Linked DNA regions of Drosophila melanogaster. The protein of the gene in region 1 purifies or fractionates together with the protein of each later gene. This does not show direct contact. Each region holds a gene or a part of one and is shown in the gene's direction. Other genes may lie near its edges.

Region 1 (6,317 bases):
ATAATCAATGAGATCTGGCGGCGGTGGATTCCAGCCAATCGTTATCGTGGACGCCGTGCTGCCGGTGGTCTCGACTTTTGGTATAAATATGGGATCATAACTAAGCGTGGTGATTCCCTGGGGATACTGGGTGGGTTGGCCATTGCCAATCGAGTTCTTTCCCACGATTCTTAAAAAATAGGTTGTGTTCGGCTTGAAATGGTCCAGAATATACGATGTATGGCTGCCGTTAATAAAGTCCTTATGATAAGTAAAAGTCGGTGTTCCAGCCTCCTGCAGAGTGATGAAGAACTTCTGAATTGGATCGTTGCCGTCGTTAACGGTCCAATTTAGGTATATTTTATTAGCACCAACTGCCTTGGCGAAATCAATGCTAACTTGTGGCACTTCCATTACGAAAAGGGTAATCTCTTTGGAGGTAATTTCGAGTCCGGTGTCATCGAAGACGGTGCACTTGTAGGTGCCATTCTCTTTCTTGTAAACTTCTGTGAATTCCAGGGTGAAGTTTAAGTGCGTATCGTTTAGCTTCGAAATGGACGAGAAGGTGTCCAGGAATTCAAACTGGCTGCCGTCCTTAAGCCACTTGAGGTTTCTATTAGTTGTCTCATTTTGTGGGTACATCTCGATCAAACAGTACAACATGACATCCTGCTTGATTTTTCTCTTAATCCTATCGGGGGTACTTTGCAGGACTTTGGATGGAAGGTATGGCCTAACTTGGAATTCAGTCGAATGGTTTTGCCCCGTTTGGGCTGTGCATGTGTAGTTCCCCGAGTCCTTTATATTGACATCGAGAAGCGCCAGGACATTCTTATACTTGATGAAGTCTTGACTATCGTTGTTTTCACTGCCATCGTCGTTGGATTTCAATGGCTCAGTTCTTATTTTATATCTGAAAAGATCGAAAAATGATCAGATTATTATGTTATTCCATCTTTATGGGGGCAGAAATATTTTTAGATGCTTGTGCAATAAGTTACTAACCTTGTATGGTTTTTATTAATAGTTTGGTTGCCCAGCTTCCATGCTACTGCTTCGTTTTCAGATGCGCACTCTAGAGATACGTTTTTACCTATTTCTGCCCACTCTGTAAATAAATTTCATTAAAATAATTATCAGTTTTGTATATAGACGTAATTATAGAAATTACACCGATCTAGTAGCAACATGCTTCTGTCAGCCTAAAAATATGTTAGACTTAAAATATATCTTCCTGATTAATGGTTGTGTATATTTAAATCTGATTATAGCTTCCGGGTTTTATGCGATTTAGTAAAATATTCAAATTAGAACTATATTGAAGGAAAATTTCTTATTTAACTTTCCTATTAAATTTTAAGTTTTATGATGGACACCAAGAAAGGTTTTTCTGGATGGGCGGTAAAAGCCAGACATAAAAATGAAACTACACCCACAATATTGGCCATAAAACTCGCGGTAGTAATCCGGCGTAATTTCGGAATCAACACGTATTTAGCTGAAGAAATATTACAAATATATATATATGTGATTATATTTCAGATAAATCAGATAGATGTACATAAGTATGTACGCAGAAACATAAAACGTATGTATGTACCGGGAAGTGTGTACATATGTATGCGCGACTACTTTTGTTTAGCCCCAATTGAAATCTCACCCCATCGCCGTAATCTTTGGGCGTTACCGACATAGTTCGAGTGCTACTGTATCTAAGAACTATACAACCGTCTTGTTAACCACCATATCAAATGATAATTCCAGTTTCCAACTTAATGTAAAACACTCCATTCACATTTGCAAAAACAACACAAAAAAAAAATGAGACATTGCAATTTGTTGACACCCACAAACGGTTCTTGATGTACGTATGTATGTACCAATTATGATGTTCGTCTGAGTTTTTGAAACATTACCTTGTTTCACAGATCCTTGCACACATATCGCACAAAGGAAAATATATGCAAGAATTATATTTAATAGCATCGACATGCGTCGGTAGAGTAACGCCATGGCTTGCTAATTTCTCACTCCGAGCCGGATAAATACATATGTCAAAAATTATATTCGATGTCTGCGTTGAGTTAAAAAGCTCTACTGCGTTGAACTAATGTCGCGGCGAGTGCAAAACACCGACAAATGTGTTTTATTAAAAACCAGTTAATAGACGGCGACCGCGAATAAGTATTAATCGTTATTTTCTTAACACTGGATTGTTTTTTTTTCGCGATATGCGGCGTTATCGATAAGTCAGTCGAATATGTACCCTTGGCTGCGGTTACCAAGGGATTTGGAACAACTGAATTGGAATATAATCGTATATTATAATAATATAATCGTAATCGTATTTATTAACATGAGTAATTAATAAGACACAAGTATTTATTTATAGAGCAGTATGACATTAATTGTTACTTAATTGTTGCAAATTTATAATTTATTTCTGGAATGCATTAATTCATTTATTACTTCATATTCACTTTTATTACGATTCCGTTTGGTAGCCGATATATTTTACAATACCAATGAGCGTTGCTATCTTAGCACACGATACAACAGTTCACCGCAACCACCAAATTCCAAGTAAACTAGCCGGCATTGTTTGTGCGCGTTTTTTTTTGCAGAAAACCACCAAAAACACATAAAAACATGAAATTAGTAAGGTATGTTATGCGTCATTTACCTAAACTAAAACTAAACTTGTTAGCAATGCGTGCAGTATAGTTTCATTCAGTTTTTGAGTTCTGCGATTCTGCACACATGTATGCATGCAAAAGCGATGCTCCCATTTGTTGTTTTTGTACACAAAATTTAATTTAATACGAATGTTGTTTTGATCTGTTATTATAATAGTTTTCCATTATTTACTTGTATCTGGTAACAATTCTTGCACTTTAAGTAGCATTTTGCATAACTATATTCAATGCAATCAACGCTCTTAATCCAAGGCCACCAAATACAAGCTACCTTTAAATTCGTACTAATTTGCTAAAAGTAAAGGCTCTACTAAGTATATTTCATCATAAAGGCTGCTTGCATACACCTTATTGTATCTCATTTTTCAATCACCCAATAAGATATTTGTTTCTACCTATAATAGCCTTGCATCTCTGAAATGCTGCATCTTTGCAACAGGGATTTCCTTAATTTCGTTTACTAATCTTCCCGTTGATGCATTACAGATTCCTTATGAAGCTAAGTCACGAGACCGTGACCATCGAACTGAAGAACGGCACCCAGATCCACGGCACCATTACCGGCGTGGATGTGGCCATGAACACTCACCTGAAGAGCGTTCGGATGACGATCAAGAACCGGGATCCCGTCCACCTGGAGACGCTGAGCATTCGCGGCAACAACATCAGATACTTTATACTGCCGGACAGCCTGCCGCTGGAGACGCTCCTCATCGACGACACCCCGAAGTCGAAGACAAAAAAGAAGGACAGCGGCCGCGTGGGAAATCGCGGCAGGGGCAGAGGCGCCCGCGGACGAGGTGGTCCACGGGGTCGCGGAAGGGGCCGAGCTTCAGGCCGACGTTAATCTTTGTAACAGCTACATCTAATAAACAATATTCGATAAATATAGAATATAAATATTCTTTGGATAAATCCACACTGTATGCATTTACTATGTACGAACAACTGACAAATGTCTTCAGCTAGTAAAGAAACTCCATCTGAATATGTATATTGTTAAAAATCACTCTGTGTAGTAGCTCAGGAAAAATGTGTTTACTTGGCAACAAATTGAAAGAAGACTCCCGCCATTAAATTATGATTAAAAATGTTTGAAAGTTTGTAAAAACGCTTTTTTATACTTTTAATTGTTTTTGGACGCACAAAATGTCTTTCAAATGTTCAACAATAGTAGGAGAAAACTGTGTTACTTAAGCTAGGCTATAGATTCAAATATATTTACTACTGCCATTAGGATGCGTGGTGAACAATGAAACAAACGACAATGTTAAACCCATGAAATGGGCATCGCCTTAAAACTGGTTAACTTAAGAGATTCTACTTTAAGTAACGGATTGGAAAACATATCAAAAGAAACAATAGATATAGGGATAATGGAGTAACCCTCACTTTAAAACCCATTATTAAGGACAAAAAAATATAAGTGATTTGTTTAAGTTTTCAAAGGCAGGTTGAACCGGTTCCGATAATATATCGAAATGTCAAATTGTGGAACTTGCTCCGATCAATTATCGCTATTCGGGTTCGGATACCCGCTAAAAGTAAGGCGCCAATTTTAAATCTTAAAATTTAAATTAGGAATGTCTTTTGATAACACAATTTTTTATTTTATATTTTTAACTCAAGTTCACAATTGCTCAAGCTTCACAGCTCTATTGCTTTCCTTTGAAGTCTGGTCAGAGCCGGGAATTTGTATATATTTGTTCGTTTATGGTTTAATTGAGAATGTGATTTTGGCTGCAGCTGTTGTTGCTTTGCTTTGCATACTAAGTTTGTTTGTTTAATAATCGTGCACCATATATATACATATATATATACACTTGACGGTTATTGGATCTCTGCAGTGTTAGGATTGTTAAAAGTCGTAACTTATCGTAATTTATGCTTTTGATGAACATCATTTGAGGGATAACATACAACTATGACACAGGTAAATATTTAAAAATTAAAATTTTTTTCCACAATGTTATATTTTCGGTTACCTTAGTGCCTATATAATTGCTTTGTTTGCATTCAATCTGACTCAATTACCTTTTCTGTATCTTTTTCTGCAACCGTTTATTTGATATCAATATATTAACTTTAGCCATTCCTTTTGAGCTTAGTGCTTCGGTTTTACCATTTTGATTTCTCTATTTGTTACCATTTATTCAACAATAATACAGCTACATTCGATTTGCATTCAAGCAGAAATGCAAAATGTTTGTGATGAAAGGATATCGAGTTTGTATGATGGATGTAGTAAGTCATGAAATCACGATAATCTAATTAAATCCATTAGCAGATATTCAGTCACCCTCGAAAAAGGGTTGAAAGTACTCGGCTGTAAGTTTACACCCTGCACAAATAAGGGTTAAAAAAATAAGGGGAAATTATTTGAAAGTATCTTCGGGCGATTAAATACATTTAAATTACGTTTAAATACATTTTATGTATTTTACTTATGTTTTGTTATGTTTATGTATTGCTAATGCTTAATGAAAAAGGGTTTGTAAAAATAAAAAGAAGCAAAGGTACTTGGACATAATAATTTTTAATTTGCTTAATAACGCTTTTTTAGAAATCCTGTCAACATTCGGAATTCAACGGATTATCAAGGAATAAAATTCAAAATCAAACATGGTATAATTAATAATCTTCTTTGCAATTAGACCTTAAAAACAAATAATGTATACAAAATATATAAATTTGTATTTCTGGCAAGACGAATATTAACAAAATAATAATATCAGAACCAGAATTATTAATGGGTCGTATTTAAATAAAAAGAATTTATGTTTATATAGACTATATTTAGGGCATTGAAATATTTGGGATACCTTCCCGAAAAGATTGTTTTAAGCCAAACTTCATTAGTAGAGAAAACTTGAAAATACTTGAATATACTTACTAATTTGCGACATACGGTGGAAAAAAGTTTGCGACAATCCAAGGAACTAACTTTAAGTCGAAATTATACACAGTAATTGATAAGCGAAAATTGAGAACAGCAATAGCCGTGGTTGGAACACCTGCCCAAATAATTTCGGATCAAAAAAGCTCAACGTTTTTAAAAGCGTCAATGAATGCGGAAGTTCGATTTTGTTATCCTCAAACAACTTTGAAGATTTTCAAATTCTGTGCAATCGATTGTCTCGACTTGTATATAAATAAAATATTTGCAGCTGATTTGCTCAAAGACTTTCTGATAAAAGAAAAATATGGGCATGAGTTGTGTATTTCTGATTTTTAACAAAAGCAACTTTTGTAATCCAAAACTTTAGAATCCTTTGCTGAAGTGTCATAAATCACAGCATCAAATTAGTGCGATGTAAAATTTATCGACAAAGGTAATGGACTTGGGACGACTCACATTTAACTATGCAGTTAAGTAATGATGCTTCGGGATGAAACAATGCCGATTCGCAATTTAGTGCCTGTGTATTCGCATGTGAAAGTTTGTATCGCCTCCTTGTCTTTTTCGTATGGCGAAAAGTCGAGGTCCTTAGACTAAATGAGGCAGGGCAAACAGGTTCAGCGCCAATTCATTGATGAGCAAAACATGTTCCTCCAGAAGGAACCATCAATATCAATCGAAAATGCATGCCGCGGCCTGATCAAAATAAATTATAAAACAAAAAGGGCCGCGCTCCGCATTGG
Region 2 (11,046 bases), on another chromosome or scaffold:
CCACCTTGTGCGGTTTCGGTACGTTGACCACGCTGACTAGACCATGTTGTACGGCCAGCTCAAAGATGGGATTGCCCAGAACGCCGTGTATCCAGTTGGCGCCAAGTTCTATCTGTGAAATAGAAGTGTTTAAATAGGAACATCTCAGATAAGTAGGCAAAGCTTAACATTTAACTTTCTAGTATAAAAAAGATAAGAACTGACCTATATTAGATAATTTAGGGGCGTAATTAGTACATGTGAAGTGAAACAATGTGGAAAACTGGAAAAATAATAAATTTTTCAGTCCCATAACTAAGACTACGTGATCGTTAGCCCGCAAACCCGTGAGTTTTTCAGGGCATTGCACTAGATACGTCATCATTGGCTTAATTCAGAAAACCCCTATCTAATCTGACAAACGTTGCCGAAGAAAGTTGTATAACAAATTTCTTGATAAGGTGCCGCCAAACCGATCAAAACTATGCTAATGAACGGAATGAAAATCGTGAGTAAGATTCACGACAGATGCAATTACATTAATTACCCCCATGTAAGCATATGTAACAAATAAAGCTAACAATAGGCAAATAGAGGGAACAGGAACATGTATAAAAATAGCTTTAATGAAAAGCGTGAACAGCTGACCGACTGCGCAGTCCGTGGAAAAATCTATAATCAACTGGCTGGGGCGAAGAATGTGTTACAACATGCTCGTGGTTTTTCCGAGTCGGAAGTGTTTTTCCTTTAATACCATATGGTCGCCTATGATGGTTTGTTTTGGTTTTTGGACTTGAGGGGGTTATATAACAAATGGTACCTTCTGATTATTGCTGAGCGGTATGGACACAATGCGTCCGCCCACCCGGCCCCGTGCCTCCAGAATAAGGAAATCGTCACAGCCGTTTTGCAAAAGGTGATTTGCAGCCGATAGGCCAGCCATTCCAGCTCCAATGATCACGATCTTAACGTTGGTATTATTCCCTGAAGTTTGCGGCTGATCCCCGGCTCCAGCAGACCCAATATTGGCCATACCCTCCTCCGTGGGCGAGGGAGCGGGTGTTACGGGCTCCTCCTTGTCGCCCATTGCTACACTTTGGCTTCTATGTACATAAGCGTTTTAATTGCGGATACCCGGTGTTTATTTGTTATTTTTCTAGTATCTTTCACGCCGCATTTCAATTTTTCTGCAGGTTTTTTCGCTTGGCGAGTCGCGCGACTGTTTTGACGTTTACTTGACAGTAGGTTTATGGGTTGGGGGAGGTAGCAGCGAACAGCTGTTCGGCTGGGTGGTAAATATCCAATTTTTTTTAGTAAACATTGTGTAATAATAGTTTTATTTTTATGTATGGGAGTTTGATAAGCGATTTTTTCAGAAAAACGTATTTTAATTGAAAGTTTGAAGGATAAGTTTTACGACAGCTGCTGGTCGCAGTATTGCCAGACTTGAAGCTTATAAGGGTAAACAAGCCAGCTGTCATTTTACAGCACTAAATGTATCGATACTTTAACGTCTGTGATTTCATGAAACTTTTGATTTTAATATACATTTCAAATTGAAGATTTGAATTGTTTTAATTAAGACACTAACAAGTTTATTACAAAGTATTTGAAATAAAAAGTAATCGCTCTAATCACACTCCACTTGTTATCGACCACCTGCCAGCACTAACAGAGCTGCCAGACAGTTCCAACGACCTATGTACACGAATTACTCGTCGCGCTGATAAAAACATAATTTTTGTAAATAAATGCATGCGATGTGCAATGCAATAACGTAATCGCGATTTCAAAGCGAGCTATGTGATTAACGAACGCTTCGGACAACGAAAAAGCCCACAAGATGGCCGACGCCTACTGCCTGACGAACTTTATTGATTTTTCGCTGTCGCTGTCGCTGCCGCTGAAACACCACAATCGCATCAAGGTGAGAGCAAGTCAATCCAATTGAGTCTCACCCGCAATTTGATAGCAGACCATTCACTAATGCACGCCCTTCCTCCCTTCAGTACACCTGCTTCGACATCTCCGACAGCTATATCATTTTCGGTGCCTCATCCGGATCGCTGTATCTGTTCAATCGGAACGGCAAGTTTCTGCTCTTGATACCAAACAAGCATGGAGCGATCACCAGCCTCAGCATATCGGCAAATAGCAAATATGTGGCTTTTGCAACGCAACGTTCGCTCATCTGTGTTTATGCCGTGAATTTGTCCGCGCAGGCCACGCCGCAGGTGATCTTTACGCACCTGGACCAGTCGGTGCAGGTTACATGCATCCACTGGACGCAGGACGAGAAGCAGTTCTACTATGGCGACTCTCGCGGACAAGTCAGCCTCGTGCTGCTCTCCTCGTTCATCGGACACAGTCTGCTGTTCAACATGACAGTGCATCCGCTGCTCTACCTGGACTCTCCGATCGTCCAAATTGATGATTTTGAGTACCTGCTGCTGGTGTCCAATTGCACCAAGTGCATTCTGTGCAACACTGAGTACGAGGATTACAAACAAGTGCGTTTGTGCGCTGGTGGCTAAGCCAATCTGATCACATACAATCGATAAACTTTTACCTCATGTCATATTTTTCAGATTGGTAACCGTCCGCGGGATGGAGCCTTTGGCGCCTGCTTTTTCGTCTCGCCGCAGGAGTCTTTGCAGCCATCTCGTATCTACTGCGCCCGACCAGGCAGTCGCGTGTGGGAGGTGGACTTTGAGGGCGAGGTGATACAGACGCACCAGTTCAAGACGGCCCTAGCCACCGCACCGGCAAGGATTCAGCGACCTGGTAGCGGAACAGACGAACTGGACGCCAATGCCGAGCTGCTGGACTATCAGCCGCAGAATCTGCAGTTCGCAAAGGTACAAAGGTTGAACGATGACTTTCTGCTGGCCTTTACAGAGCTGGGACTATATATATTTGATATTCGACGATCGGCGGTGGTGCTGTGGTCCAATCAGTTCGAGAGAATCGCCGACTGCCGCTCCTCGGGATCGGAGATCTTTGTGTTTACGCAGTCTGGCGCACTTTATAGTGTCCAGCTGCAGACGCTGCAATCCCACGCAGTTTCTCTTATACAACAATCCAAATTGCTGCCTTGCGCAAATCTACTACGCCAGCATGTCCGATATTTTGCGGACAAGGCTCGCGAGGATTACGAACTTAAACAGCTCAATCCGCTGAAACAACTACTCATCGAGCGGCAGGAGTACGAGCTGTTGAACGATATATCCGTGATATTTGATGCCATAACTCAGTGCACAGGCAGTGCTTTGGATACGCACAGCTCGGGAGGCAGTTCAGCCACCACTGAACGCAGTTTGAGCGGCGGAAGTTCATCGAGAGCTCCGCCGAAGGGAGTGTACGTGCTGGAAAACGCATTCTGCGACAACTTGAAGCAGCCTCTCAAAACGGGACACTTCAAGGATGCGCTGCTGACGGTAACTGGTAAATTCGGCAAGAACATCATAAAATACAAGTTCAATATTTTTGCCGAGGAACAGCAGCAGTTGGTCAGGGAACTAATTCCAGCCAGCGAGCGTTCTCTGCCGTTCAAGGACATCAAAGCACGCTACGAGTCGGGAAGCGAGGATCAGGAGGAGGAAATTGTTAGGCGCTGTAAGAAACCGGCTCCCCAGGTTCCCCACATCAGTCCCGAGGAGAAGACTCTTTACAACCTCTACCTGATCGCCAAGAGCGCCAAGTTTAGCCGGACGCAGTGCGTCGATCGTTATCGCGCTGTCTTCGACGAGTATGCAGCTGGCGAGCTGGTGAATCTGCTCGAGAAACTAGCCCAGGTGATGGTAGAGCATGGGGATACGCCTGACCAAGCGCAACGCAATTGCTACGAGATGTATTTCGATTACCTGGATCCGGAGATGATCTGGGAAGTGGACGACGCTACGCGGGATCACATAGCTGCCGGATTTGTGCTGCTAAATACTTCGCAAAATGCGGAGATTGTCAAGTGTGAGCATTGCTCGTTCCCCCTTCGCTTCGATACCTCCTGCCAGTATCATGAGCTTGGAGCAGTGCTCCTGCGATACTTCTGGTCCCGTGGCGAGCAACTGAAGTGCTTTGATGTTGTTCAATCAGTGCCGGCACTATTAGACGTCTTAGCTAAATTTTACCTAGCCGAACAGAATCTCACCAAAGTGGTGGCCATCGTCCTCAACTACGGACTCCCCGAACTTCTGGCTGACGTGGGCAAACAACTGAGCGTGAGCGCATGGGGCCGCTGCTTCGAACAGTTCGTGGAACTGCAACGCGGCGGACGACTGGTGTGCGCCAACTGCGAGTGCATATCTGGCGTGGAACAGGAACAGTTGGGACGCCACTTCTTCTACAACTGGAACTGTTTCCTCAACATCGCTCTGGATCACATGTCCGCCGGGGACACGCTGGCGCTGATCTTCAAGTGGAGCTCATACATTCCAAACGACGCTATCGACCGGGAGTTCTACTCCCGCTGCCTGCTCAAGGGCTGAACGATATGAAAATTATTATTATATACATATATACGATACTTTATAGCCATATTTATTGTTCCACTAACTAATCTCAAGCTAAGGCCAATACCAAAAGCATTTATTCTATATAAACATGTACATTCACAATATGTATATTCTGAAGACGAAAGTGAATGAATATATTCCAGAGTTCGAAACTTCGAATTTTAGTTTTCTTTAACAGACTTGGAGGGAACTTGAGTATGGAATTGTTTGGAAATTTTTAATACCTATTTTACGGCAATCACATATATATACTAAATTTCAAATTTAATTTGAATTTCTTTGACTTTTGCTTCAAATAACGAAATGGGGTACAGCGGCTGACGCCTTATAAACAACTATTCCTAAACATAAACACAAACATTTTTGGCCTTTAAGAAACAAAATTTAACTGCCCAGCCTCATTTCTCTTCCATTCAAAAAACAACAACAGCCTAGAAGGGATCGACGCGCCGAAAAAGCAAAAGTGAAAAAATTCAATTTGAATTTCATAGACCGCGAGACGAGGATATAGATCTGGCAACGCCCTTGCCGGAGTCTTTGCCAGTAACCGCCGCCGAGAGCCCAGGTTGGAGTCTCTGCTCTACCTCCACCGACCGCATCTATCGATTCCTCATCGATATACGTGCTAAAGCAGCCCTGATTTTTTAGACACGCGTCTGAAAGCGGAAAAAAACGTGAACTCGTCGGAGAAGCAGCATTTTCCAAGCCCATAGCGCTTGTAATTGTAATTGTTGGCACAAGCAGGCCAGCCAAATCCGATACGGAAACGTCTCAGTTTCAAGCCGAACAAAGGGAATTGTGTGCGAGGAACGAAAAGAACCCTGAAATTTCACACGAGAACGCAGTAGCTTGTGGAACGTAAGAAGTTTTTTGTCGGAAAAACTAAGGAAAAACGTATAGACACAAAGTGCAACACCAACACAACGATCGTATACATTTTTTTGTCGCAAATTGCAAGTGTGCATTCAAAAAAAAAAATTCAAAGCGTAACCATTGCAAAATTTTCCTAAACGGAAAGCAAGAAAAAAAAAGCAACTGATTGGAGGATAATATGAGTAATGCTATTAACCAAAATGGCACAGGTCTAGAGCAGCAAGTAAGTAGCGTTTTTAACTGCTGAAAATACCATTTACCATCTATATAAGAATGGAACACGCATGTGTATGCGGTGGCTGTGTGTGTGTGTTCGTGATGCTCATGCGGCTATTTGAAAAAGTTCGCCTAGAAATTTATTGATTTCATAACACACTAATGTCTCTATCGCTCGTTTTACAACGGTGAATTGTGTCGGTGTCAATGGCTTGCATATATGTGCGTGTGTGTGTGCGCCTGGGTCCCTCTTCGTCATTCCAATTTGTAATTTCTTTTGTATAATTTTTGCTCGCTTGCCTCCAATTTGACATGTATAATATATACATATGAAAGTTTCCATTCGGCCTCTCACGTTGAGTGTGTCGTGTGTGCGAGCAGTGCCGCTGTTCTAAGGCTGGTCGTGTGTGTGTGTTATATCTCGCTCTCTCTCGCTTGCTCACACATGTGGAAGCTGTTGTAAATAGGGTTGCCAGGAGTAAGCGATCTGGTGATTAATTTCAAGGGTGATTTGGCAAAAAAAAATGGAAGAAAAGCAAAGCATGTAATCTACATACACTATTTTAACAAGCCTTTGTTAGGTCCTTAAAAAGAATTAAACTTTATTAGAGATGTGAAATAAACAAACGTTAATGCTTTCAAATGGAAATAGTTTAGTTAAATACTACTATTTCTGTATGCCTCAAATGCACGCAATGAATCTAGCAACGATCTAGCCGTTAAGTGACGCCCCACAAAATCTGCGAATTACATATTTAGCTGCCTTTGTTAATTAATATAAATGAAGAAGGCAAAATATTGAATATTACAAGATATACGGGAATAATAATCATTGTATACATTTAAACTAGTTCTTGAAAGAGTTCCCTTGCTTTCATCACCATTCTGTCCACTTGGGTCCCGCAACCGGGCTTTGTGTTTTGCCCCTACGGTGCGATTTGTTTTCCCATGTGTGGGTGGCTCGTTCACGTGTTGTTTTTGTTGGGTTACCAGGCGGACTCTCTTTGTGTAATAGCTTGCCTGCGAGTGCGAGAGAGACGCTTACAGGGAGAGCACTAAATTCGAAGCTTTAAACTAGTTGCGCCTCTCTCTATCTGTGTATTCCGGAGATTTGCACGTACATACATATGTATCTATGTATATATACACGTTGCGTTGCTAAGAGGAAGAGCGGTAAATAGCACATGTTGCTAAGCGGGAACGAATTCATTTTGGCAGTTCTGGAGAAAATTTCCCCGGCGAATCTTTTGCCAAACTGTTGAACTTGATTCTTGAACTGGTGCCGGCTAACTTACAGGCAACATATGTTAATTGGCCATGTGTACTATAAATCAATTGTATTAGTGGAGCAAAGATTATTTGTGTAGCTTAGTTTTGCATTGCTGGTATAGATCTTATCATTAAATGCACTGTGTTCCCGTAAACTTGGTATATAACAAAGAAAAGTAATCTTAAACCAATGATTAAGTACAAAAAAAATAGAACAAAACCTATAATTTAAGTGTTAGGAAACCACATTTGATGCCACATTTTTTGCACAAGTTCTGAAGAAGACTAACCATTTAATCTTTATCACTTGCAGGTTGCTGGTCTGGACTTGAATGGCGGCTCTGCTGACTACAGCGGCCCCATAACCAGCAAGACTTCCACTAACTCGGTCACCGGTGGTGTGTATGTGCCCCCGCACCTTCGTGGTGGTGGTGGCAATAACAACGCAGCGGACGCAGAGAGCCAGGGCCAAGGACAGGGCCAGGGTCAGGGCTTCGACTCCAGATCCGGGAATCCGCGCCAGGAGACTAGGGACCCTCAACAGTCGCGCGGAGGCGGAGGCGAATACCGCAGAGGCGGCGGCGGTGGTGGTCGCGGCTTCAATCGCCAGAGCGGCGACTACGGTTACGGAAGCGGCGGCGGAGGACGACGTGGAGGCGGTGGACGTTTCGAGGACAACTACAACGGTGGGTACTATTGGCTAACAGGTGGTCTATTCACTATCAAGAAGCACAAGGACATTTAATTAATTTTTACAGCTCCATAATGTAATGATCCTTAAAATCGTAATGCGTACGACTTATACTTGGTCCTCTAATATGCCCATATTATTAGAGAAAATGTAATTACTTTTGCAGGTGGTGAATTCGATTCGCGTCGCGGCGGTGACTGGAATCGCAGCGGCGGAGGCGGCGGAGGAGGTCGAGGATTTGGACGCGGACCATCGTACCGCGGCGGTGGCGGCGGAAGCGGTAGCAACCTCAACGAGCAGACTGCCGAGGATGGCCAGGCACAGCAGCAGCAGCAGCCGCGCAACGATCGTTGGCAGGAGCCAGAACGTCCTGCCGGATTCGATGGCAGCGAGGGCGGACAGTCTGCCGGCGGCAACAGAAGCTACAACAATCGCGGCGAGCGCGGAGGCGGCGGTTACAACAGCCGCTGGAAGGAGGGCGGCGGCTCAAACGTCGACTACACAAAGCTGGGCGCCCGAGATGAGCGCCTGGAGGTGGAGCTGTTCGGCGTGGGCAATACGGGAATCAATTTTGACAAATACGAGGATATACCCGTGGAGGCGACGGGCCAGAATGTGCCCCCGAACATCACATCGTTCGATGATGTGCAGCTGACGGAGATTATCCGCAACAACGTGGCCTTAGCACGTTATGACAAACCGACACCGGTGCAGAAGCACGCCATTCCGATCATTATCAATGGCCGGGATCTAATGGCCTGCGCCCAGACTGGATCCGGCAAGACGGCCGCCTTCCTGGTGCCGATTCTCAACCAGATGTACGAGCTGGGACATGTGCCCCCGCCGCAAAGCACCCGGCAGTACAGCCGGCGCAAGCAGTATCCGTTGGGTCTGGTGCTGGCGCCGACCCGCGAACTGGCCACCCAGATCTTTGAGGAGGCCAAGAAGTTCGCCTATCGCTCCCGGATGCGCCCGGCAGTGCTGTACGGCGGAAACAATACTAGCGAGCAGATGCGCGAGCTGGACCGCGGTTGCCATCTGATTGTGGCCACACCCGGTCGCCTAGAGGACATGATCACACGCGGAAAGGTGGGACTGGAGAACATTCGATTCCTTGTACTGGATGAGGCTGATCGTATGTTGGACATGGGTTTCGAGCCGCAGATCCGTCGCATCGTCGAACAGCTAAACATGCCGCCAACCGGACAGCGCCAGACGCTTATGTTCTCGGCCACATTCCCCAAGCAGATCCAGGAGTTAGCCAGCGATTTCCTCAGCAACTACATTTTCTTGGCCGTTGGTCGTGTGGGCTCCACATCTGAGAACATTACGCAGACAATCCTGTGGGTCTATGAACCCGACAAGCGCTCGTATCTGCTGGATCTGCTCTCGTCTATCCGCGATGGCCCCGAATACACCAAAGACAGCCTAACACTGATCTTTGTGGAGACTAAGAAGGGTGCAGACTCGCTGGAGGAGTTCCTGTACCAGTGCAATCATCCCGTCACTAGCATCCACGGTGATCGCACGCAGAAGGAGCGCGAGGAGGCACTGCGCTGCTTCCGATCGGGCGACTGCCCCATCCTGGTGGCCACAGCCGTGGCCGCTCGTGGCCTGGACATTCCGCACGTTAAGCACGTTATTAACTTTGACCTGCCCTCGGATGTGGAGGAGTATGTCCACCGTATCGGGCGTACCGGACGTATGGGTAATCTTGGTGTGGCCACCTCCTTTTTCAACGAAAAGAACCGCAACATTTGCTCCGATCTCTTGGAGCTGCTGATCGAAACGAAGCAGGAGATCCCCAGTTTCATGGAGGATATGAGTTCGGATCGCGGACATGGCGGAGCCAAGCGGGCTGGACGAGGCGGTGGTGGACGTTATGGTGGCGGCTTCGGCTCCAGGGATTACCGTCAAAGCTCTGGCGGCGGCGGTGGCGGACGCAGTGGACCGCCACCACGTAGCGGTGGTTCCGGATCAGGAGGCGGCGGCGGCAGTTACCGCAGCAATGGAAACTCGTACGGTAAGTTTGGTGAGTGTGGAATCATCCATCAGCAGTAATCAGTTTAAAGGCAGAAACTTAACAGTGGATTTCCTTTACAGGCGGCAATTCGGGCGGCGGTGGATACTATGGCGGCGGCGCCGGTGGTGGCTCCTATGGCGGCTCCTACGGCGGCGGCAGTGCCTCGCACTCTTCGAACGCACCCGACTGGTGGGCTCAATGAGCAAGGCCTCAGCTTCAGGCAAAGGACCTGGGCCAGCAGCAGCAGCAGCATCAGCAGTCGCATCGTAGCCACTTTCGCAAATAACCAAACGGAGTAAAACAAAGTCGATAACAACTATATATGTGTACACACGTATACTATATAGGAACAGCAAATGTGAAAGAGAAACTGTCTGTGCGCAGCGCAACACAAATCACGAAAATACAGAAAAGATACACAGATGCACCCTCCACCCCACCCTCGTTTAGCAATTCACTCCTCTCTCACAACCTCAAAAACCAGGAGCAAGCGTTAATAATAAACTGTGCAAGTCCATCGCGAAAGTATATTACATTCATGTATAGCCAGCCCAAGCCGCCCTCCATTTCCATCTCACCCATCATTATATTTTATGAATTCGATGCGCGTAGTTGAAGGATATGCAAGCAAACACATACATATTTAAAATATGCTAAACAACCACAAATATTAAGAATATTTAAGCAAATGATAAAATTTTTGAATTTTTGTCCATAAGTTACAATTCTCACACATCATTTTTCTTGGAACTCTTAATATACATATATATATATATATATATATGTATTCTTATATATATATATATATATATCTAGACATAAATATTGTCAATGTCGGATCGAAACGATGAAAGCGCAAATCCTTGAACTTCAATTGATGATTTTAAACGAAGAAAACATAAAAATAGTAATGGTATATATATTATTAAATATATAGATCGAGATAGAATGTACTATATGAAACAAGAAACCAACACAAACAAGTAATTAAAACAAAAAAAAAACAAGTTTGCTAAACTAAAGCTTAATAATTTAGCAAATGAGAAAAAGAACTCGCATGGTTGTTTTTAATTTTTTCTGCATTTGGTGTAACAGGTGATTTTTTTGGGATTGGCAGATCGTGTCCGATAACGCTGTAAAGCACCAACGTTTACTAATTCCTTGGCGCCCTATTATCTTTTCATAAATATGTTCAATTAAGATTTATTTACTTACTGATATCACTTTTTGAGTTAGCTCCATTGATAAGAATTGGCAAGTTGCCTGTTCTTTGGTTTTAGTTCAGTACGCTTTTCGAACCAATACGTTTCGATGTAAGAGATCATTGGATTTTCAACCGCGACGAGCTGCTGGCCATATTATCAAAATAATTAAGGAGTGGAATATCCATAGGATAGGTTAGTAACCTTTAGGAGCTTCTCAGATGAGAGCTTTGTCGCCGGTTTCCCAGCGGCAAAGCTTCAATTATGCACATTTAAGCAATC
Region 3 (7,889 bases), on another chromosome or scaffold:
TGCATTGTGTTTCTGTCTGCGTATTTCTACGACAAGGGTTTCTTTAGATTGAAGGAACTTTTGAACCGCTTCATACCTCGACAAATGACTAATATCGTAACCGTTTATCTGAAACAGAATATGTGCATTTTGAAACGCTAAAAAACAGATTTCACACGAATGGAACTATTTATGGTAAAACGAGAACTCGGTTCTTAGTCCTACTTTATATTGAACTTACTTTTAACACAACATATTCGTACTCCACGTCGGCAATACTCATAGTGATGCTTAAAATCCAAAACTCATATTTATTTTCATTTAATTGTATACATATTTTTTCGAAAGTGTGGCCAAACCTTTTGTTTTCATTTATATCATTTACGTATTCTTTTTGATAAAAATTGTAATCGATTCTCTTAAGTAATCGTTTAATAACTCGCAACGGAATGGAAACCGTTAACGGATTGAGAAATCATAGCAATTAAAATTATCCGCTCGTATAAACGCATATTTTCAGACTGTACCAATTTTCAATTCATATTGTTGAATATAAAGTTGAAGTTGATGTAATGAAATTGATAATATAATATAATATTTCAATGGCTTAGGCATTGATAACCACGAAAAGCGGAGGTGCCCCTTGACTAAAAAGAGTTGCTATAGAATGGTTTTTGTAACCACTATTGTTTGATACGCACCTGTCATTGAAGTTCTTGTCGTTTCGTATCAATTTTGTGCTATGTAAATGAAATGGAAATGGCCTTAGTGACTTAACTGTGTGAACACAATATAATAATTTATTTCCGATACTTTTATCTTGATCTATCGATGGATGCGTATTTCTTAAAGCATACACATATACAATTATATAGAGCTTAAATAGCCGGATCAATTCGTATTTAAGGTTGTATGATGGTTAAAACGGGAAATCGCAGTAATTTTTATTATTTAAATAGTAAATTTAAACTTCAGTAAAAATATCCTAAATAATGTGAAGTGTCAAGAGCCAGGTGGACATAGCCATATCCGTACGCCCGTTTCTCACTAAATCTTTCTAAAAGCCTTTCTGTTGCCGATACTATGCATACTACATGTATGGCAGAAAGACCTCGACAAAGGGGAACATACATACATATCTTCTTTTTTGTTAGAAAGTGTTTTATCTCGGTATTGAACAGTTTTCGACCATATGCCTTGGAAAAGTCAAATTTTTTCTGTTCGTGATCATAAATAGATATTATTCAGTATAAGCATATAAAAATCGGCTTGCCGATTTTTGTTTATTTCCTATATTATACCCATTACTTGTAAAGTAAAATCGTATATGTATTAGATTCGCTGCAATGTATGTAATTGGTAGAAGAAACCGTCTCCGATCATAGAAAGTATATGTATGTAATAGGAACGCATCGATCCCATTTTATACTCACATGTTTCCAAATGTTTACACGCTTGTTCTAACGACCACGAACCGCCCAAAAACTGCCAAAAACAATTTTAACCAAATACCTACAAATCGTTCAAAACTGTAACGCCCATATCAATTTAAACACACATAAACCCTATGTAGTATATACATACATATGTATGTGTCTAGATTAGAAAGAAACACCCATCCGAGTTGATACTTCCGTCTGCCCCTATGAATGTTGTAATGTCGGGAAGCACTCCTCTGGCTACCAAAAATTAGTAATGTAAATAAAGGAGAGGTGGGCTAATTTGATTCTAAGGTTATATATTTCTTTTTTATTGCATTTGTTTTCGGTTTGGACATCATATAGTGTCCAAATCCCGAAGTTCATTAACTAGTCTCGGAAACCTTTTTGTTCACCTGTTATGTTCTTTTTTAATTTTTAATAACCCCCTTACTTTACGAGTGAAGAGTATAAAAGAATTATAAATACTTTTTCAAGAATTCAGGTTAATATAATTATTCGATTTTATGATAGAATCTAACGTTCCGCTAACCATTTAATACAGCAAACCATATTTATTTTCAGATCAAAAATGACAACACACGATGAGGCTCAGTCATACTTCTCACGTCTTAATTCAATTTCCGAAAAAATTACCTGCGATCTCAATAAAGTTAAATCTACATACAACCAAGACGCTTGGCTTAAATTGACTTTAAACGAACAGGAAAAAATATTGAATAACCAATTAATAGATCCTGTTATATTTTCTAAGTACTGTCATAAGACTAAAGAAAACTATGCGGCACAGGATCCGTACGAAAATACTGAAGTTAGTAAAAATGATTACCGTAAATTTTGTTTCAGAGACATTGTATATTTATATAACGGCCAAGATTTACACACATATAATTATCAAAACGTTGGTTTAAAAATATTACGCGATGAAAACACCGGAGATTTTCAAGATGAACATTCGTTTCCATTTTCTTATCGAACCAAATCACAAATTAACATAGTATTAAAAGAATTTGATGATATCTGTCTTGTTGAAACTCCATTAGGCGTAAAAAAGGCCATTCATTTAAAATTGAAGACAAAAGATTCAACCAATAAAAAAATACCAATTCTCCACCTTAATTCTAATGATAAAACCGGCGTTAACACAACGGAAAGAAAGATTTCCATTCATGAAAACTTCTCAAAAACCCAAACTGTTTATATTGATGAATGTATTGAATCTAATGAGAAAATGCAACTGCTCGTTAAATGTGGATCGAAAAACAGTGTGTTAAACGACTTGTCTGATTATGAAAACGAATTTAAAGATGCACGTCAAGACGAAAATACAAAACTGTTATCCCCTGAACTAAAAATGCCTAAGGGTTTCGATTTTCTTAGCAATTGGTAAAACCTATTTAAATCTCATAGATAGTCGAAGGAGAGCCGATATTTTAGAACATAATTTCATTTGATTTCAAGGCAAAACACCAAAACATACACATTAATATTAATCGGTCGTAAGTCCAAACTTTATACATTACATTATTAAGGATTCTTTTTTAACATAGACTTAATAAAATAAGTTATGAATTTAATGGATTGCCCAAACCTGTTTCAATTCTCACTTCAATAAGGCATTCAAGCTTTAAAATTTATTAATGCATATGTTATCTCACTGTATTGTTTTAATCCCTTAAATTTCATTTGAATTGTTAGAAATGGTCGAGAGTTATATGAGTTGGAACTTGTTTGAAACAGCTCTGTTTTGAATTAATTTAAATTATATCAGCTAATTTATTTTAATCAATTAATCCTTCTGTTGTGTACCCTCTATCTGACCTCTTCGATGTGAACGGGTCACAGCACTTATTTTAGGCAGTTGTGTAAACTGGGTATTACCTAAGATTGATTAATATCGATTAGTTTAAGAAAATATCGGACATCTACCTAGAAGAGTCTGTCGTGATCCAGGCGAAGTGCGAGTGAGAGCATCGTATAGTTACTTTTTATTTAAATTGCGTGTGTTAAAATGAATTAGCACGAGTAGTGAATGTTTTTGTGTGCGTAATCTTTCGAAAACAAGCGCTTTGTCATTAAAACGAAAAGATTGCCAACAGCCCACCACGGATAGAATGTACGGAGTAATGCAGCTAAATTGAAGTAGAATAATTTTAATGTATGGTTGAAGACGTACTCAGTACGATTAAAAGCGAAACTTTCTGACATAACCTAAGTGTGCATAACCTAAATGGTCGCAAAAACCCAAGCGTTTAGTTTCGGACATACGCATGTGTGTATCAGTGCAGAATAAATTCTGTTCGCTTGTGTATCGTGCATTGGAAAAGTCTATATGTACATATGTTCCAGTCAAGAGTTGCCACGCTTTAAATCTTTTACATAATGACAAAGCAATAGGGAATTTAAATGTGTCGCATTTGCTTTGAGGTTTTCCACACCAACAGTTAAAATTTAGTAATAGTGTAATTAAAAATAAAGTAAGCATTTTGCATATTTGCATTAGTCTATACTCCACATACCTTTCCATTCCGTCTTTAAATTTTGACTAGGTGGCAATATTGCAAGCAGGAATATCTGTATGGGTTTATTTAATACACTAGTAACTGCCGTCCCCATCGTCGAACGTGCGCAGAAATTTATATTCAATTACATCGAATTATAATTATTGTTGAGTCTAATCAGTTTTCGCATTCAAGATTGTTATTAATCCCAGTTTATTTTGTGAAATATGAAAAACTATAATTGATTGTCGAATGTGTGTATGTTTTACAACACATACACACTTTGTGAACTCGTCAAAGTGGCTTGACATGCATACACACAAAAATGCACATATATTTACATATATAGAGAAAATCAACTTCTCGTTCAGTAAAGGCAAAAATTGTTGCAAATATTCGGTGAACTATTAGCGTATACACAAGTGTTCAATTTTACTATAAACGCATATTCTGGCAATAGATATTAATTTCTAATTTCTGTTTGGTAGGTTTTAGTTAGATCTCCATTTTGTGACGTTCTCAGCTTTTCGCTTGTATTTCTACACATAGGGTACAAGACACGCGAATATACTAAGTATTGTACAATGACTTCTCTACATATGCACTAGAGTACTGAAAATGTATTCATACAAATGTATATACATGTATATATCTATCGCATTAGTCTTTTTGCCAATACTTGCATATATACAGGTTGTGTAAATACATTTTAAATTCTAAGTTTATTTGAGCATAATTGCAAGTGCGAAATTAGGAAAGGGAGACATAAAATAGGGTGCTTCCGTCAATGTCTGCCTGCCCAGAGTTGACAAATTCATTTTACTTGTGTACATATGCATATGTATATTTATATACCATTACAGAGTTGTGAATTTAATTGTTTTATTTTTTGACATGCATTCGTTTTTCACACAGGAATTTGTCGTTAATGTGGGTGGGGATTCTGCCGGTTGGGCAGCAGACCTGGTAGGTCAGCGATCGCGATGCATATTTCATTTTTAAAATTCTTTATGTACATACTAAGTATACATGTTTAACTCCTGTCAAATGACTCCCACTCTTATATACCCATATGTATGTCCTCAGACTTTTTGAATCGATTATAAAGCTTAAATTTTTATGATTTCTCCTTCAGAATTTTAACTGATGTTATGCAGTTAAAAATCTGTAAAGAAGATATTGATTAAGCCTACGAAAAGCTGATCAGAATTAAAAAATTTTTTAAGAACAACGAACAATAGAAAAACTAAAAACAAACGTGCACAACGTAGGGGTCACTAGAATCTGCATGCTTATTCTCAACTGTCTAGCTTTTATGTCGAAAACGCTTCCGCTATGTAACATACTTTAGAACAAATCTGGTATACCATATACCATTTTACTCTATTAATAATGTGTATAAAGCATAAACGTATCACGGTGATTAAGTTTATTTATCCTGTGTATATACAAGAAAATAAAAAAAGAACTTAGCAATTTGATTTAGAATGAATATTTTGTAATAAAAATAATAAATGTTTTCTATATTTCTACAGAACACGGAAAGAACAAGGATTCAGATTAAGTCATTCCTTTTCGATTAAATTAAATAACTTTTAAAAATTGCCATAAATGCTTATGATAATGAAGTTAAAGATCAAGTGGATGTTGGAATAGTAAGGAATGCTACTTTTGAAGCTGACAATCAGTTAGAACACTTGAGCACTATGCGTGAAGCCCTTTTTTCCCAAGATGGCTGGGGCTGTCAGCATGTTAACCAGGATACTAATTGGGAAGTTCCCAGTTCGCCAGAACCAGCCAATAAGGATGCACCCGGTCCACCAATGTGGAAGCCAAGCATTAACAATGGTACTGATCTTTGGGAGTCCAATTTGAGAAACGGAGGTCAGCCGGCCGCACAGCAAGTTCCAAAGCCGTCGTGGGGTCATACACCATCCTCTAACTTAGGTGGAACATGGGGTGAGGACGACGATGGCGCCGATAGTAGTAGTGTGTGGACTGGAGGAGCTGTTAGCAACGCGGGATCCGGAGCTGCAGTGGGAGTAAACCAAGCCGGAGTTAATGTCGGTCCAGGCGGTGTTGTTTCGTCTGGCGGACCTCAGTGGGGACAAGGTGTCGTTGGCGTCGGACTTGGATCAACTGGTAGGCCTAATATCTATTAGAATTAATGAAGTTAAGCGCAAACGATCAGATAAAGGCTCTAGCTTTTCCCTCAAAATGTGACTAACAATACATGATAAAAACATAAAGTGTAGTAATTGAAGTTGGAGCCTTATCTGGGGAATTACCTATTCTAAGTTCTACAGAAACTTTTATTTCATTAACCCGAAATACTTTTATATTTCTGCTGTTATTTAAGGAGGTAACGGGTCAAGCAATATAACTGGATCGTCTGGAGTCGCAACAGGTAGTAGCGGAAACTCCAGCAACGCTGGTAACGGTTGGGGAGACCCTCGTGAAATACGCCCTTTGGGAGTTGGTGGCTCCATGGATATTCGAAATGTTGAACATCGCGGCGGTAACGGTTCTGGAGCAACTTCGAGCGATCCACGAGACATTCGCATGATCGATCCGCGTGACCCTATTCGAGGAGATCCCCGTGGAATATCTGGTCGTCTTAATGGGACCTCTGAAATGTGGGGTCATCATCCACAAATGTCCCATAACCAGTTGCAAGGTATCAACAAAATGGTTGGTCAAAGTGTAGCAACTGCCAGCACCAGTGTCGGAACATCTGGCTCGGGCATCGGTCCTGGAGGTCCCGGTCCTAGTACAGTATCAGGCAATATCCCAACACAGTGGGGGCCTGCTCAACCGGTAAGCGTTGGTGTAAGTGGTCCCAAAGACATGTCAAAACAGATAAGTGGATGGGAGGAACCATCACCACCGCCTCAGCGTCGCAGTATTCCTAACTACGATGATGGTACATCGTTGTGGGGTCAGCAAACTCGTGTTCCCGCTGCAAGCGGTCACTGGAAAGACATGACTGATTCGATAGGTCGTAGTAGTCATCTCATGCGTGGCCAAAGCCAAACGGGAGGTATAGGAATAGCCGGCGTTGGAAATAGCAATGTTCCAGTGGGAGCCAATCCAAGTAATCCTATAAGCAGTGTAGTTGGACCTCAAGCCCGGATTCCATCTGTGGGCGGCGTACAACACAAACCAGACGGCGGCGCTATGTGGGTGCATTCCGGCAATGTAGGTGGCAGAAATAATGTTGCTGCTGTTACTACTTGGGGAGATGACACTCATAGCGTTAATGTCGGCGCTCCCAGCAGTGGCAGTGTATCCAGCAACAATTGGGTTGATGACAAGTCCAACTCAACCTTGGCACAAAACTCTTGGAGCGACCCGGCCCCTGTTGGAGTTAGTTGGGGCAATAAGCAAAGCAAACCGCCAAGCAATAGTGCTTCATCAGGTTGGAGCACTGCTGCGGGCGTGGTGGATGGGGTTGATCTAGGATCTGAGTGGAACACGCACGGGGGGATTATTGGAAAATCTCAGCAACAACAAAAACTAGCGGGACTTAACGTGGGAATGGTGAACGTAATTAACGCGGAGATCATTAAGCAAAGCAAGCAATACAGGATCCTTGTCGAGAACGGCTTTAAAAAGGAAGATGTAGAGCGGGCATTAGTGATTGCTAATATGAACATCGAAGAGGCAGCCGATATGCTCCGTGCCAACTCATCCCTATCAATGGATGGTTGGCGTCGACATGATGAGTCCCTTGGATCTTATGCCGACCACAATAGTTCAACAAGCAGCGGTGGATTTGCTGGTCGTTACCCGGTCAACAGTGGACAACCTTCAATGTCCTTTCCTCATGTAAGTATCGTGGAACTAAGCATAATGAAGGTTTTTCGCCTAATGATAACAATATCTTAAAATAAATATATGTAATCACTAAATTATGTATTAAAAGCGCGACCTCGTACTCATGGGCACACAAATTCTTAATTAGCGACGG
Region 4 (7,292 bases), on another chromosome or scaffold:
TTGCTGCACTGCAGCAAAGGCGGCCGCATCGCCAGCATTATTGTTACGATTTATGTTGTTATTGTTCCGCTCGCGGCGACGTCGAAGGACACCAATGTGATATCTAACAAACAATTATAATTTCAATATATGTGTAAACTTTTCAATTCGAATCAAAGAGGAAATGTACTTACAGATAAATCGCACCCGCGATGAGCACCACCAGTAAACAACGCAGCGCTGAGGAGTTAAAGTACAGGACAGTCACAAAAATGGCCAATCGCGTAAAGCTAAAGAAACTATCCAGCCAGTCGTGCATTTCCGGTTCCTCCTGAATGTTGGGAAAATTTCTGTTCTGCGGCGCTCCATTAATCTGAGGATCAGCAGGTACCTGTGCCGCTGGGGCAGCAGCTGCTCCTGCCACTTGTTGTACCTCCCCGAAGTTTCGCCCAGCAATCAGTGGGACTGAGGGCAACAGGGGTTGAGTCGGTGGCGGCAAGCCAGATTGGTTCGAACCGGGCAACGTAGAACTGTGGGTATAATATAAGATTGTTGTGTAAGAATCATAGCATTCAATATTATAGAAAATAATTGTTCGTTTACATGCAAAACTTAATTGCGCACAATAAATTCTTCGGGAGCGACCCCAAAATTATATTATTTAACTGTAATCGTGGCCATACAAGTATACTACAATTTTAGCACGCCTGATAACCAAAATAATAAAAAGATTATAAATAATCAAGAAACAACTTTAAAAATGCTAAAACAGCATTTTGATCTCACTTGAATAATAAAGTACCTCTTAAGAGTGACTAAATACAAGTGTTTCTCCTTCTGAGAAAAATAAAATGTATTCGCTATCGAGCTCTGTGTAATTTGATTCGCTCGCTTCTGATATCAGTGAATTAATTGTTGGATCAAGTGTGTTCCTTTAGCCTTCTGGTTCTGTTCACTTACCGTAGAGTCAACTGCTGCATGTACTGCGCGTAAGCCTGCTGCATCCAGGCGTTGTAGATGAGCGCCTGCTGCTGGAACAAAGCATGGGGACTGGCACTGGCATTGGCAGCAGGTGCTGCTCCCTGGCTCTGCTGCCAGAAGTGTGTCCAGGGATTGGCCAAACCGATGTCACCCGTCACGTGTGGTCCAGCGTTGCCCTGCTGTGCCTGCTGCTGATGTGGAGCATGACGTTGTCGCAGCTCATTTGCATTCCCAGTGACCTCGGGCCCAGCTGGAACCGCATCCTTCTGCGGAACAGTGGGGGCTTTGGCAGCCGGCCTTATCACTTGCTTGCTGGCACACACCAAGTGAAATATGTGGTGCTGTTGGTAGACATCCTTGTAGCTGCGTATCACCTCAGATATCTTTTGGGAGTCATCTAATAGCTTGCCCGAGTAAATAAGTTTCTGGTCCTGGATTAACTACAGAAAAAATGGAAAGAAATAGTTATAGTGGTCAAAACATAAAACATAAAATTTCACATTATAGGTATTCAGAGGGAACCTAGAGATAACTCATTGTTGCTTTTACCTCCGCGCGAAATTTATACTATCAAACAGTGCCTAAATCTATTTATTTGCACACTCCAAGAGATAACAACTTGTACTTGTCAGTTGACTTTATGGAAATGATACTTGAAACTAAATAAATTTTTATAAATTCTACTTGATTTGCTCTGGAAATAAAGAGTGCTAATGTATTTTTTCTGCCTGCAATGATCTGAATCTTTAGTATATATCAGTGATATTGATATGTGGGATGTACATATGTACATAAAAAACTTGGCACATGAGTGGAGCGTGAATATGTCCAAAAATCTTATCACTTTCTAACCGTAACCAAATTAATCCCAGTTCCCAGTTCCGACCCATCGATTTGGCATAGACCAAGTGCATGACGCAAGTGCATGACGGCGACTATAATTTAGAGGAGCAATCCACTGACGTGTACTTGCGACTAAGACGCAAATAGCTTTGGGAACCGACACACCTATGAATCCTAAACGAAGATGATAAACAATAACAAACTTCTCGATAAGATAATGGGGCTCCTGGCCAGTTTTCTACCTATACGATAACAAGGGGGGGAACCAACTCGATAACCCACCGGTTTGCCAGGATAGATAAGAGATAGGTGCTTCTTCAGCCTCTGGACCGTCCAGCAGAGATCGGAGTCCACATTGAGATCCTCATACTGCTGGTTGGACGACTTGATGAGCAGCCGGACACTGGTTTCCGGATTCTTTTGACGGGTGGCGGCATCGCAGCCCGCGGCTGTTGCGGCTGCGGGTGGGGCGGCGTTCTCCTCCATCTGGCTGACCCCGCGAATCGGAGAACTTTCTATTGCTAATTAATGACCGCGATACGAAGATCGGTGATGGGTTTTTGCTGCGCTAGCGGGGACACTTTTTACGCAGCCACTGTTTCTCACTTCCTACTCCGCTCTGCTCTCTGCGTATTTTCGAGAAATAGTTTATTCTGAATTTGACATTTAATTTGGTATTATGCTATTGTTTGGTTTTCAACAGCTGTTCGTTCTGTGGTGTTTTGCTCGCAGCACAGAGTTATTGATTATGAAACGCAGTAAACGTTCCGCAGTTGATCAAAAACTACTCTTCATTTGGTTCTGACCTGTGGCAAGTGATGAGCGTCGGTCACAGGGCTGCCGCGAGTAGCAGGTATTTTTAAGTCGCAGGTTGCACAAACAGCTGAGAATTGATTTTCCAAAGTGTGTGGGATGTGGCAATTTAAGTACACAGTTGGAAAATATTAAAGTCGTTGCTCAAACACTTGGTTTTAGTGTTTTTAGAATTTATTCCTTTGAAAAATATACGGTATCTAGTTATTTGCAGTTGTGGATTTTGCTCATCACTGACAGCAACACTTGTTAATGCCATATACTACGCAACAGGGTTGCCTTGACTTACGGGGATGCCAACTCGCGTCATCGTGACGTGTCGATTATGTATAACACTTCAGACGTTGAACTTTGAATGAAAACACCGAATAGCATATAAAATGCATTTGCTCCTTAGTAAAAAAGTTAAGAAGGTTTGCCGCTGTTTTCGTATTCGAATTACGAATTCAATACTATTTCGTGAAAATATTTTTTTGACAAAGCGGCATAAAATAATTCATTTACAGATGTCTTCGTCAAGATTTCCTATTCTATCGTTGCCGCTTCGTGATTCGCGTGCCATCTCTAATAACATTGCAGTGCTTTAGATATTTTATAAATTATATATATGGTTATATTCTGTTGAATGTTAGCACGTCCGACGTGCCTTTTCCCCTTGAACTCATGGATAACAAGTCAGCCGTATCTGCTCTACAGGAGTTTTGTGCCCGGACACAGATTAATCTACCAACATACAGTTTTATTCCCGGCGAAGACGGAGGGTACGTCTGTAAAGTTGAACTATTGGAGATAGAGGCCCTTGGAAATGGTAAATTTAAATTACAAATCTCAACCACTATTTATATTCGTATCTAAACCGCCACATATTTATCCAATTCTAGGGCGTTCGAAGCGTGATGCCAAACACCTGGCTGCCAGCAATATCTTGCGTAAAATCCAACTGCTGCCCGGCATACACGGCTTGATGAAGGATTCGACTGTGGGTGATCTGGATGAGGAACTGACTAACCTCAACCGGGACATGGTGAAGGAGCTGCGTGACTACTGCGTCCGCCGCGAGATGCCACTGCCCTGCATTGAGGTAGTGCAGCAAAGCGGCACCCCGAGCGCCCCGGAATTCGTGGCCTGTTGCTCCGTGGCCTCCATAGTACGCTACGGAAAGTCGGACAAAAAGAAGGATGCCCGTCAGCGAGCGGCCATTGAAATGCTGGCCTTAATCTCCAGCAATTCGGACAATTTGCGTCCGGATCAAATGCAAGTAGCGAGCACAAGCAAATTGAAAGTTGTTGATATGGAAGAATCTATGGAGGAATTGGAGGCATTGCGCAGAAAGAAATTTACCACCTACTGGGAGTTGAAGGAAGCCGGGAGCGTAGACCATACAGGCATGCGGCTCTGCGACCGACACAACTACTTCAAGAACTTCTATCCTACCCTGAAAAAGGAGGCCATTGAGGCCATCAATTCAGATGAATACGAGAGCTCCAAGGATAAGGCTATGGACGTAATGAGCTCTTTAAAGATAACACCCAAAATCAGTGAAGTGGAATCTTCATCGTTGGTTCCCTTGCTTAGCGTCGAGCTTAATTGTGCATTCGACGTGGTCCTTATGGCAAAGGAGACCGATATCTACGACCATATAATAGACTATTTTCGCACCATGTTGATTTAATGCGTATAACATTTATTCAACTATTCTAGCTTAAAACTAAGTAAACTCGTTTTATTTACACTCTAGAATGCACATATTTCATTTAATCTTACGATTAATACAATCTCCACCAATTTGTAGGTGGGAAACATAAAAAAATTATTTTCAAGGTCTTTTAGTAAACATCTATGTTAACTTTGTACACGATTGAGATAGGTGTAAAAAATCCAAGGAAATAAGTAAGGGGAGTGGGTACAACAACTTTTACTTTCGAGAAGGTATAACATAATGATATTATTAATTACTTTTCGATGCCAATACCAATGTTAATTCTATTAAAATGTAAAGTATTTATACGGTCCGAACTTATTGTTTGCAACAACTGATTATAAAATATTTGAAGCAATTTACATAAATATGTATTGCACAGTGAAATTAAAAATCTGAACATTTGCCTTTAAAAGGAATGCTAGTAATCAAAGACTTACTTGAAACAAATATTTTAAATAATTTGACGGAAAAAAATGGTAAAAATGCTGCATTTCTTTTTTTTTTTACAAGTACAACTTTTATACGAATAAAAGGGGTTTCAGTCTAAAATAAATAAAGTGCTTCGTAGTCTTCAGCATTTTTGATTTTATTTTTACAACACAATGCTAAAATGAAAACTAAGCGTTCCTCTTAAAAACTTTCAACAATGTATTAACAATTTCAATGTCAATTGCTTGCCTTTTAATGGGTTATCTTATATTAGTACAATATGTTAAATAACAAATCCATAACAATTTGAAATGTTTTCCTAAAAAAAAATGTAAGTGTATAAATGAGATTGTTATTGCAAATAATTTCCTAATCAATCACCAAATTTGATTGCATTGGAATATCTAAAAAATCATTGCATTCGCCACATCAATCTCATCATCTCATCGGGAAACGTTCAATTTACTAGTCAAAATAATATTTACACAACTAAAGGAAACAATATATGATTAGTGTTCAATAGCTAATCTTCTTGCGCAGCTTGAGATTGGATTGTTGATGGTCCAGAGACTGTTGTTGTTGTTGTTGCTGTCGCTCCCGATCCCGATCCTTTTCGCTGGACGCACGACTCACACCGCGTACCAGGTGCTGTTGCCACTGGCTGGAGGAGGGCGGCGCCGTGGGTGTGGGAATACCCGAATTTGAGGCGGACGTCGATGCTGAGGAGCCGGACTCACCGAAAAGGCGCCGGGAAAGCTTGAAGCTGCCGCTGTTGCTGCTGCTGCAGCTGTTGTACTTGCAATTGTTGTTCATGCTGCTGGTGGTGGAGGCGTTTGTGGCGTGGGTGGCGTTGATCGATGTGCTGTTGGCTACAGCTGATGCTGCTGTGGCCGCTGCAGCAGCTGCCGCCGCCGTCTTCCTCAACAGCTTTGTGTTGTACTCGTCGCTCTTGTCCTTGTCCAGGCGTGTGGAGCTCAGCGATCGCTTGTTTCGCTTGGCGGAACCAGCCACCAGGCCGTGCTCGATGATCGCCTGCAATTCGGCACTGCCGCGCCCACTAAGCCGGCTTGTGTCTGCAGGATTGGAGGAGGGAGGAGGAGTGGTAGTTGGATTATTGTTGAGGCTGGTTAATTTTGTTGTTTTCGGCAGCGGATTGGAGTTGAGATCGAGCGTGGCGGATGCGGAGCGTGTGGCTATGTTAAAGGAGGCTGAAGTGGACGACGACCCACCAGGACCACCACCAAAAACACCGATTGTGGGTATAGCCGATACGTCCCGGTAATACCGAGCCGTGGCCACCGTGCACGGTTGCGTTTGGGCAGCAGCCGGAGCCGTTTCTCCGGCATTGGGACGCTGGTATCGGATCCGAGATCTCCCCCGTAGCGTCATGTGGTGATGGGAGGTACGCGCAGCACTGCCCCGTGTGGGCGGAATGGTGGCCGAGCTGCCGGCACCACCACCGCCACCGGACACCACGGGTATCTTGCTCTCGTTAATGGTGGCATATTGGCGAAGCAGTTGCTTCTCCACCGGCAGCAACGGTTGCTCCTGCTGTACCTGCTGCTGCTGCTGCTGTTCCGCCTTTCGCAGATGCTTCAGCTCCATTCTGAAGGAGCATGGAGCAGGAAGCGAAGAAAGATTGGGGCGAAAAAGGACGAGAGAAGAGAGAGAGAGAGAGAAATGGTGTACGGGGTTACGGGCTCAGTGTGGTTCCCAAAACAGTCTTACTACAAAAATCATGGCAGAGCTCCGGAGTCCGAAGATTTCCACATCCTTGCAGAGCAAAGTCAATCGAAACATTATTGTTTATCATTTATAATTTTTTGAACTTAGCGGTATACAAAAAACCCAATATTTGATAAAAACATTCTCTGCAAGGATCTATCTTAAGTATTTCACTAAAATAAACAAATAAAAGCAACAAAAACAAGGCCAAACAAATACAAAACAATTTCGCAAGCTTGTAGCATAATTTCGAAAATTTGTGGTTTATTATTAATTATTTTGCGCAACAATAAATGTTTCGCAATTTCAGCATGCACAAAAACAAAAATGCCAGTACATAACAGAATAAACTAAATACACTAAAATTAGCAGCTAAGATAAGATAAACAAATATCGAACTTGGGTTAGTGTCGTTTGGTGTGGGAAACGCCATTTAGGTTAATTTTGCGAATATTGCATTAGAGGGGTATTAAGAATATTACAAATACAAGGTCGAACTTTTAAAACACATATTAATCTTGGTTTACCACCAATTGAATTTATAGACAAAATCGTTGAACTGAGTATTTTTAGCGTTTTCGAAAATATTGTTGGGTAAAACATTGTTAAAATGTGAAAAAAATCCGACGGTCTGCATACCTTATAACTAATAATATTTACAATCGATAAAGGATTGGTCTACGGGATAAGAAAGTGTTTTTTTTTCGGGGGCAACGAAAGTATAAATTAAGTATAAATTGCGATAAAAAACAGAGCCGCACACGTAACGAAATCAAATCCAATGCAAGTCGAACATATAACATATAATACTTCGTCGTGG

The links.
Region 2: the proteins of SmD1 (region 1) and bel purify together in Drosophila melanogaster (affinity purification with western blotting, with the first as the bait; one study listed by BioGRID). This does not show direct contact.
Region 3: the proteins of SmD1 (region 1) and gw purify together in Drosophila melanogaster (affinity purification with western blotting, with the first as the bait; one study listed by BioGRID). This does not show direct contact.
Region 4: the proteins of SmD1 (region 1) and r2d2 purify together in Drosophila melanogaster (affinity purification with western blotting, with the first as the bait; one study listed by BioGRID). This does not show direct contact.

Annotation. Positions count from the first base shown.
Region 1 is NT_037436.4:12,730,828-12,737,144, reverse strand, and holds SmD1 (small ribonucleoprotein particle protein SmD1), read left to right. Parts: upstream 1-2,533; 5' UTR 2,534-2,628; coding exon 2,629-2,642; intron 2,643-3,161; coding exon 3,162-3,522; 3' UTR 3,523-3,781; downstream 3,782-6,317. Other genes in the region: Ptp69D (protein tyrosine phosphatase 69D), read right to left, coding at 1-892, 985-1,087, 1,896-1,992. UniProt on the Drosophila melanogaster protein: Plays a role in pre-mRNA splicing as a core component of the spliceosomal U1, U2, U4 and U5 small nuclear ribonucleoproteins (snRNPs), the building blocks of the spliceosome.
Region 2 is NT_033777.3:8,654,503-8,665,548, reverse strand, and holds bel (belle), read left to right. Parts: upstream 1-4,787; 5' UTR 4,788-5,541; coding exon 5,542-5,586; intron 5,587-7,161; coding exon 7,162-7,534; intron 7,535-7,705; coding exon 7,706-9,571; intron 9,572-9,642; coding exon 9,643-9,764; 3' UTR 9,765-10,574; downstream 10,575-11,046. Other genes in the region: CG8032 (uncharacterized protein), read right to left, coding at 1-112, 800-1,066; p (pink), read left to right, coding at 1,823-1,906, 1,989-2,489, 2,568-4,463. UniProt on the Drosophila melanogaster protein: ATP-dependent RNA helicase that is essential and required for cellular function, larval growth, and for male and female fertility.
Region 3 is NC_004353.4:656,074-663,962, reverse strand, and holds the start of gw (gawky), read left to right. Parts: upstream 1-3,354; 5' UTR 3,355-3,534; intron 3,535-3,979; exon of another isoform or gene 3,980-4,403; intron 4,404-5,454; 5' UTR 5,455-5,625; coding exon 5,626-6,061; intron 6,062-6,278; coding exon 6,279-7,747; intron 7,748-7,889. Other genes in the region: Slip1 (SLo interacting protein 1), read right to left, coding at 1-108, 221-262; CG46466 (uncharacterized protein), read left to right, coding at 1,990-2,808. UniProt on the Drosophila melanogaster protein: Required for gene silencing mediated by micro-RNAs (miRNAs). Silences both polyadenylated and deadenylated mRNAs. Required for miRNA-mediated translational repression and mRNA decay. Not required for miRNA target recognition.
Region 4 is NT_033779.5:7,797,224-7,804,515, forward strand, and holds r2d2 (r2d2), read left to right. Parts: upstream 1-2,923; 5' UTR 2,924-3,029; exon of another isoform or gene 3,030-3,122; 5' UTR 3,123-3,279; coding exon 3,280-3,424; intron 3,425-3,497; coding exon 3,498-4,288; 3' UTR 4,289-4,875; downstream 4,876-7,292. Other genes in the region: Herp (Homocysteine-induced endoplasmic reticulum protein), read right to left, coding at 1-103, 174-509, 940-1,400, 2,086-2,289; Cdc14 (cell division cycle 14), read right to left, coding at 5,264-6,353.